Linked DNA regions of Schizosaccharomyces pombe. The protein of the gene in region 2 binds, or shares a complex with, the protein of the main gene of each other region. Each region holds a gene or a part of one and is shown on either strand. Other genes may lie near its edges. A codon is read from its position in the direction of its gene.

What was found.
Region 1: the proteins of sfr1 (region 2) and swi5 are in contact, whole or in part, in a crystal structure (PDB 3VIQ), measured with the Schizosaccharomyces pombe proteins. Residues at the interface, in NP_595668.1 of Schizosaccharomyces pombe: Leu182 (codon at 2,578), Leu183 (codon at 2,581), Arg185 (codon at 2,587), Arg186 (codon at 2,590), Leu189 (codon at 2,599), Glu190 (codon at 2,602), Glu192 (codon at 2,608), Val193 (codon at 2,611), Leu196 (codon at 2,620), Gln197 (codon at 2,623), Gln199 (codon at 2,629), Leu200 (codon at 2,632), Thr202 (codon at 2,638), Ala203 (codon at 2,641), Thr205 (codon at 2,647), Ala206 (codon at 2,650), Arg207 (codon at 2,653), Val209 (codon at 2,659), Glu210 (codon at 2,662), Glu214 (codon at 2,674), Asp215 (codon at 2,677), Leu218 (codon at 2,686), Gln219 (codon at 2,689), Leu221 (codon at 2,695), Ile222 (codon at 2,698), Lys224 (codon at 2,704), Trp225 (codon at 2,707), Lys226 (codon at 2,710), Ala228 (codon at 2,716), Ala229 (codon at 2,719); in NP_595453.1 of Schizosaccharomyces pombe: Met1 (codon at 1,563), Lys3 (codon at 1,557), Leu6 (codon at 1,496), Glu7 (codon at 1,493), Val10 (codon at 1,484), Leu13 (codon at 1,475), Glu14 (codon at 1,472), Gln16 (codon at 1,466), Lys17 (codon at 1,463), Leu20 (codon at 1,454), Glu21 (codon at 1,451), Ser23 (codon at 1,445), Leu24 (codon at 1,442), Ala27 (codon at 1,433), Leu28 (codon at 1,430), Lys30 (codon at 1,424), Leu31 (codon at 1,421), Lys32 (codon at 1,418), Asn33 (codon at 1,250), Ala36 (codon at 1,241), Lys37 (codon at 1,238), Thr39 (codon at 1,232), Val40 (codon at 1,229), Lys42 (codon at 1,223), His43 (codon at 1,220), Leu46 (codon at 1,211), Leu47 (codon at 1,208), Thr49 (codon at 1,202), Tyr50 (codon at 1,199), Glu52 (codon at 1,193).

What each region holds. Positions count from the first base shown.
Region 1 is NC_003423.3:1,136,087-1,139,618, reverse strand, and holds swi5 (protein Swi5), read right to left. Parts: upstream 1,713-3,532; 5' UTR 1,564-1,712; coding exon 1,555-1,563; exon of another isoform or gene 1,503-1,554; coding exon 1,417-1,502; exon of another isoform or gene 1,252-1,416; coding exon 1,089-1,251; 3' UTR 872-1,088; downstream 1-871. Other genes in the region: MIS12/MIND complex Mis12, read left to right, coding at 92-871; NifU-like protein nfu1, read left to right, coding at 2,030-2,812. UniProt on the Schizosaccharomyces pombe protein: Required for normal mating-type switching. Also involved in the rhp51-dependent recombination DNA repair pathway.
Region 2 is NC_003423.3:1,578,654-1,582,577, forward strand, and holds sfr1 (DNA recombination mediator Sfr1), read left to right. Parts: upstream 1-1,802; 5' UTR 1,803-2,034; coding exon 2,035-2,934; 3' UTR 2,935-3,227; downstream 3,228-3,924. Other genes in the region: SPOM_SPBC28F2.05C (xylose and arabinose reductase), read right to left, coding at 1-352; ERMES complex subunit, membrane tether and lipid transfer protein Mdm12, read right to left, coding at 474-1,295; hrd3 (HRD ubiquitin ligase complex subunit), read right to left, coding at 3,450-3,924. UniProt on the Schizosaccharomyces pombe protein: Involved in DNA recombination repair and meiotic chromosome segregation.

The DNA.
Region 1 (3,532 bases), 440 kb from region 2:
GCAGAACAACTTGCCGTTTAAAAATCATAACTCACTAGTTTCCTCTTTGGAAGCTAATCAGTGTTTTCAATGTAAAGGAATTAATTAAAAAATGTTAGTGGAGTTACTAGAATTCACTCCTCTCTCCTTCATTGATGATGTGATCAACATTACGAACCAACTGTTATATAAAGGTGTAAATGGTGTGGATAAAGCCTTTTCACAAACGCGGTTTGCTAAAAAAGCGCCACAGGAAATAGAAGAAGGACTACACAAGTTCGAGGTTCTCTTTGAAAGTGTGGTGGATCGTTACTATGATGGTTTCGAGGTGTATACACTTCGAAACATTTTTAGTTATCCACCAGAGCTAAAAGGCTACATGCGTACGTTTGGAAAGGATGTAGACTATTCAATCACAACAGAGCAAGACGCCGCCATGGATCAAGCAATTCAAGAGGCTGCAGAAAAACTCGTAGTAAAGATGCAACTACGTCGTGACCTTCGCATGCGTCTCAGCAGGAAAAGAGAAAAAAAAACAGAAATAGAAAAGCATTTGGAAAGAATTTCTTTTCTCAACAAAGTACCCGAAAATTGGCAAGTTACTTTACCAGAAACTACCGATTTCCTTCTTGATCAACTTGGTAATCTGCAGCATGCCGTTAAAAGAGTAGTTGAAGCCTCTCCCACTGTACACTCACGAGAGGTGGATGAAAGAATTACCTACTTAGAAAAAGGTTACGAACGATTATCTAATCCCATCGACCAGCAAAAGGATTTTTGGTCACATCACTTGTCAAAACTAGAATCGACAGCCAATACTGAAACTGCAAATAACATTCATAAGTTGCTATTGTCATCTGAAAAAGACGTCGGACATACTGACGAGCCTTAATACTAATCAACTAGCTAAAGTCTTGAGATGTTCTAACAATTGTGATCGTTTACGTAAACTTTCATAATAAATATATAAGAATTGGCGTTGGATCTCTAGCGAAAGCAAAGTAATGCTTAATAAAGAAAACTTGGATTGTCTCTGTCACTTTTTCCGTTACATTTTTATTTGTTTTGTTTAACTTCTCTTTTTTCCTAAATAACTGAATGGATAATAATTATTCTGACCCATTAACTCCAAATCTGTCAAACAATTCGACACTTGTACATTTTTCATGCTCTGCCACTTTGCCAATCATTCCCAAAGCAATATCCCGTATTTCATTATAGGTATGGAGTAGATCGATATGTTTTTGTACAGTTTGCTTAGCATCTCGATTTCTAAATCATTTGTCAACATTAGATAAAACGAGACAAGCTTGATGATGACTTGAATAGATTTGATGGAACGGCAATACATTGCTTTTCCCAAAATGAACCTGAACGCGCGTAAAGGCGCATAACTCATATTTTCTACCATTTCTAGCATCACTTTACCACACTTACTTTAGCTTAGCTAAAGCGTCTTGTAAACTACTTTCCAATTGCTCCTTCTGCTGTTCAAGCAAATGGACGCGTGACTCAAGTTGAGACTGCAGTAATTCATCAGTATTTTGTGAATGAACAATGGTACCGTTGGCTTACCTTTTCCATACGATTTAAACAGTTCTTTCTTAATGAAGCAATGATGTGTGAAATTTACTAGGAAGGTATCTGTTTTTGAACACCTAGTAGAAATTAAGTTGTTGAGGAAGGCAGGAGCCTACCGATTTGTTCAATTGAAAACAATGTCTATTGTTCTTGTAAGAGAGAATTTAGATTAGTGATGAAAGACAAGTAAATTGTTGAATCACGAACAATGGCTTATTTCAATATAATGAACTTCGCTAATTTGTATAAGAAAGTATAAGGATCACATCGGTTTTCGTATGCCCATGTACAAATTGCCTTCTTGCATGTATTTAAAGAATTGCTTACATTAGCATTTCCTGATTTAAAAATTGTTAATAAACATTTAAATTTTCCCATCTGTTTGAAGTGTATACTTAAGAAGTTTCAAATTCTGAACTTGTCTTAATATTTTGTCTCTTATTGGATAAAGCACGATTTGATTCCAAGCATGTTATTTCCTAGAGTTGTGCCGTTTCAATCTTTAAGGACAGCATTCCAAAAGAAAACCTTTTTACCAGTATCTTCAGCTGGTAACGTTTTCACTCCACGTTTCCAATTGCAAGCAATTCGCAGCATATGGATCCGATCGGAGGAGACACCGAACGAAAACGCTTTGAAGTTCCTGCCAGGGCTAGATATCTTGCCTCCAACTATCGGAAGCTGTGAATTCATGAGAGGACAAGGAACTGTGAATTCTCCATTGGCACAGAAACTATTTGATATAGATGGAGTTGATAGCATTTTTTTTGGAAAGGACTTTATTACTGTTTCCAAGGGAGCAGGAACTGAATGGGCTCAAATGAAGCCAGAAGTGTTTAGTGTAATTATGGAGCATTTAAGTAATGGAAGCCCAGTACTCTCTGAAGAGCCTCTAAAGGGGGCTAGCGATACTCAAATATTAGAAAGCGACAGTCAAATTGTTGCAATGATTAAAGAACTGATCGAGACTAGCATTCGTCCATCTATCCAAGAAGACGGTGGTGATGTGGAATTTAGAGGGTTTGATGAGAAGACAGGTACCGTTTCTCTTAAACTTCGAGGTGCATGTCGAACCTGTTCGTCATCAGCTGTGACACTAAAAAATGGAATTCAGCAAATGCTGAAGCATTACATTCCGGAAGTGGAAAATGTTGTACAAGTTTTAGATCCAGAAGAGGAGGTTGCAATTGCCGAGTTTGAAAAATTTGAACAGCGCATTAACGGAAACAAACAGAAAGCTGATAACAAGTAACTTTTTCCATTCAACATAGGGAATTTGGTTCATTTAAAAGACTTTGGTGATAGAAATTAATAATTGACGAACAAAACGCTATTTATGAGTTTTAAGAAAAAACAGCAAATAACAATGAATATTTACACTGTATTCGATAAAAAACACATACTACTATATAAGACGATTTGTTTAATCATATAATGTTACTTTCTTGGTTCATTTTCGACTGCAAATTTTATGTACGAATAATGAAGATGTGTATCATATAAACTACAGGTTTCATCAACACCTGTATTATTCAGAGATATTTAAATGTTTTAATAATAGCGAGGGTACATATTTATGAAATAAATAAGTAAAAATTTTGAAATACTGTTGGAATGTTTCGTTGATGTCCCTGTACGCAGATGACTATTTTCGAAATTTGAAAAGGAGAATTGATACACAGAACGGAGTTGAGTTAATGTTAGCCTTTGGCTCTCTTTTGCTTAAAAAACGATACTCGAAAAATTGACTAGTTAGAAAAGGTGGTAATGCATTCGTATATTTTCAATTAAGCTCTAGGTTATTAAATAGGTATACATAAGCGAATTATGTTTGGAGTTGGGAGATTGTATCAGCGTTACGAAATATTCGTCAATCATTTCATCTTTGCTAATTGCTGATTAACCAAATGATGAAGTTAGTGCTGAGCTTTATTTGTTTAAAAAACTTTGAGTATAAGCGAAGCGATAGATT
Region 2 (3,924 bases):
GGCGTACGGGCCACTTTGGTGAATGTATTAGCACGACGTCTAACTTTGGACGACCTGTTCTGCGAAGAGACTGTTCGACCGCTTTCCAGGTACGTTCAAATCCTTGTAAGGAGTCAGGAATCTTAGTTATTAAGGTGATATCTTCACGTTTAATATTCACATTTTGATGGCAGAAATCTTGAATGGCTTGTTCACATTCTTTTTCATTTCGATATGTAATTGCTGAATCAATTACGCGAATACCAAGCGAGAGTGCCTCAATTACTTGCTGGTAGCAATCCTTAAGTTGATATACACCAAAGCAAAGTTGTTCCTTTTCAAAATTGGTTTGAGAAGGAGAAAATGGTTTCATTAACGTAAGTTGAGGTAGATGAGAGAGCTCAATGTATAGACAAAAATATTTTCTAAATCCCTAAACCTTTAAGTAGGAGATTAAAGGAAATTTTTTATATATTTAGGATAATTGTAAAGAATTATTCAATGGTTATATAGCTAGGCCAGACAAGTTCATCCTCAATAATACGTTTAACTTTTTCCGATACAAATTTCTCGACTTTAGCAACATTTTTTAGCAGCTGTTTATTAGATTCTCCAATAATACTTTCCACTGTTAAATCTCGAATAACACTTGATGCATGCTCTCCAGTTCCGTGCAGCAATGTATCAACGAAGCATAGATGCGTCCGCTTTCCCATTTTAGCCAAAACAGCAATGGCATCGATGGAAATCCTAATAAATGAAAGTTTGAATGGAAGAACTGCAAATTCAGAGTTCGGGTAATTCATCGATAGAACCGCTTCCAGGCTTAGATTTGCGTCTCCGTCATAAGATACGTGTGCAGTAACTTGGAAATCGTTAGAACGATCTCTTTCTTGATGATTATCCATTGGAGTACTTGGGCGACTTTCAGGAATTGGGCTTGTGAGTCCACTTGCAGATAGAATCCCGGGTGAATTAAATGCGGGATTAAAATATGCTAGTCTTGAAAATGGATGTTCAGCAGCGTAAGGTGGAAGATCCGTAAGCACTGGTGAAACATTATTGCGGGAGCATTGATCACCCTCTAGTTCTTGGTTAGCTAATTCGAAAGCTTCATTTTCATAAAATTGGGGATCAGGATCGCCGATTTCTTGAATAGTAATCTGAGGTGAGACTTTGCCGAAATGGAAGTCAACAACCTTTAAATGCTTTATATAAGATGGTAGCGACAAATTCGAAACTTGTCCTTCGAGAAGATGTAAAACTTTTGCTTCTAATTCTGAGTCTAACTTTGACCAATCAAAGTCAATAGACATTGTTCTGCAATTGTAAAAAAAAAATACGAACTCTTGAATCTCTCAATGACGATTGTAGCAAGTTTTCAAAATTTAAGTAATTTCTTCGTCAACTTGGTTAATGAAATAATATTTAAACCGGTTCTCTAAATTTTATACGAAGACGGCATGAATTTGATACTTTAAACAAAATCCTCCAGCAATTTTAATGTCCTTTCCTTCAATGTTCTTTTTTACTCATCGAGAATTGCAAGTGAATTTTTAAGATATCTATTTATCTTAAATATTACCTTCTGTAGGTACCAAAATCTTTTCTCCTAGTATTGTCAGTAGAGTTAGGTGGTATTCCCAGATTACCTTCTAACAAAGCCTACGCGGTTTAAAAAAGGTTAAAAAACAAATTTGTAAATTAATAAACCTTTTAGTTTATTACTATCGTAATTTGTATAAACATTTAATTTTTTGGAACCACCAGTCATGTGCTTCAGTCTTCTTCTACCTAAGTTCTTGTTGCTTGCTGTTATTTTCACCTTCTGCTAGTAAAACGTTTTCAACGTTTATCTGGAATTTGTGGTATTTCTTCATTTCTATAACAATTAATATTCAATTCATTTAATTATTTGAAGTTAGAGTTTAAACATTCAACTATTACACTCAACGCGTTTGTTGACAAAAGTTACGCGCTTCATTGCATCTTTGTTATAATTTAACATTCACTCTTTCATCTTCGAATTAGTACTTTAAAACGATTTAACTGAAAATGTCGCAAACAATTAACTCTGAACTCAATGAAAATGCTACTTCACAGTGTAAAGAAGATTTGAAAGTTTCCCTAAGCGAAAGTGATTTACGTGACTCACAGGGTCAGTTAGGAATAGAAAACCCTCCTAAATGCAATAACAGTGGCAATCACTCAGATAACCTAGGTTTTATCGAGCAGTCAGAAACAGTACATCCAGAGAATGAGAAGGCTTTGACGCCGGACCTGCGAGATACAAAAATACATACTTCTTTACCAATTACTACACCTTTTTCAAAGAAAAGGGCTCGAGAAGCCAAAAATATACTTCTTAAGCCGTTCAAAAGCCCCTTAAGACAAACTGCCAGTCCTCAAGTTGCAGACACTAATCTAAAACCATCGTTAGCTGTAACAAATCTTAACTCTGATGAAACAAACACTTCTTCAGAACCTGTTACTTCTCCCTTAAGAACAACGCCTAATTCAATAAAACGGCAAAAACGACTTTTCAAGTCACCTATCTCTAATTGCCTTAATCCAAAGTCCGACCCTGAAATCACACAGTTGCTTTCTCGTCGTTTAAAACTTGAAAAAGAAGTCAGAAATTTACAAGAGCAGCTCATAACCGCCGAAACTGCACGAAAGGTTGAAGCCAAAAATGAAGATAAAGACTTGCAAACGTTGATACAGAAATGGAAAAATGCTGCTCAGCAAGCCGCTGAAGTACTTTTTAAACCAATGGCTGAACGTATTCGTTTGGCTGGAGGTGTTACTCAGTCCTTTCGTATTGAAGAAGGTGAAAATAAAGGGCAAATTCAGGAAGTACGAACTGAATTTACAATGAGTATGTTTCTAAATCAGTTTGGTGTTCCTGTTCATTTGATGTCTTTTGATGAAGAAAATGGTGATTGGAAATCGTAAAGGACTCCTTACTATTGTTAAAAAAATTTTCGTTCGTACTAGTTAGAAAACCTTTAGTACGAACTTAAATATGTTTAGCTAGCTTACACCAAAATCAAGGGTATACTAATTGAACGTACAGAGGTACCTTAATCGTTTACATACAAATTGCGCCGAGCTGGTATCGAAATTCTTTACATGTAACAATGAATCGTTCCAGGCTGAGTTTATGACTTTAATTTATATAATTATTAGCATTATACAATAACATGTCTCATTAATTTGAAATTTCTTGATTTTGAACCTTCTGGTTCTAAATTTTTTCTGGAGATATTTAACATTCAAACAACAAAAGTCGATTAATTGGCTGACAGACAACAAATATAGATCAACCAATTGAAAGATGAAAAACAAAATTTATTCAAAGCATGATTTAATCACCGACGAACCCTAACATACATATATTTTTTATTCTGCATCCATCGAGCAACAAAATTTTAAATTAGAACGCAAAAAAATCGAAGATACAATTTTTATTAAGCGCGGTTTTGTCTACGGATGATTCGCTCACGTCGTTCTTGAAGTCGATGCTGTTGATGGCGTCTCATTAAAACCAGTCCGACAACTACCACAATAAGCGTGACACACGCAGTCTCCAAAAACCTTCCATCAATGTAATCATAAGTGAAACGAATATCATTATAGGATTCACCCATCTCTTCAGTATTAGGCGAGGGCAAGGACTCAGACGTTTCTTGAGGGTCAGGTTGTTGTGGTGTACGATCTACTTGTAGTGTTGGTGGTTCTGGGGGAAGTTGTGAGTCCGGACCTGCCGGGCTTAGTATGTCAAAAATATTTATAATAAAATATTGCACAAGCTTCAAAAATTTGTAAGTGACTTTTCCAAGTATGCGATAAATATTAGAAAACCAACTGTCGGGAGAAGAAAGCCTCATTCTTAAACGTGCCAAGGTCACAGCCAAAAATGCTCGTGTATCGTGCATTAAAGCA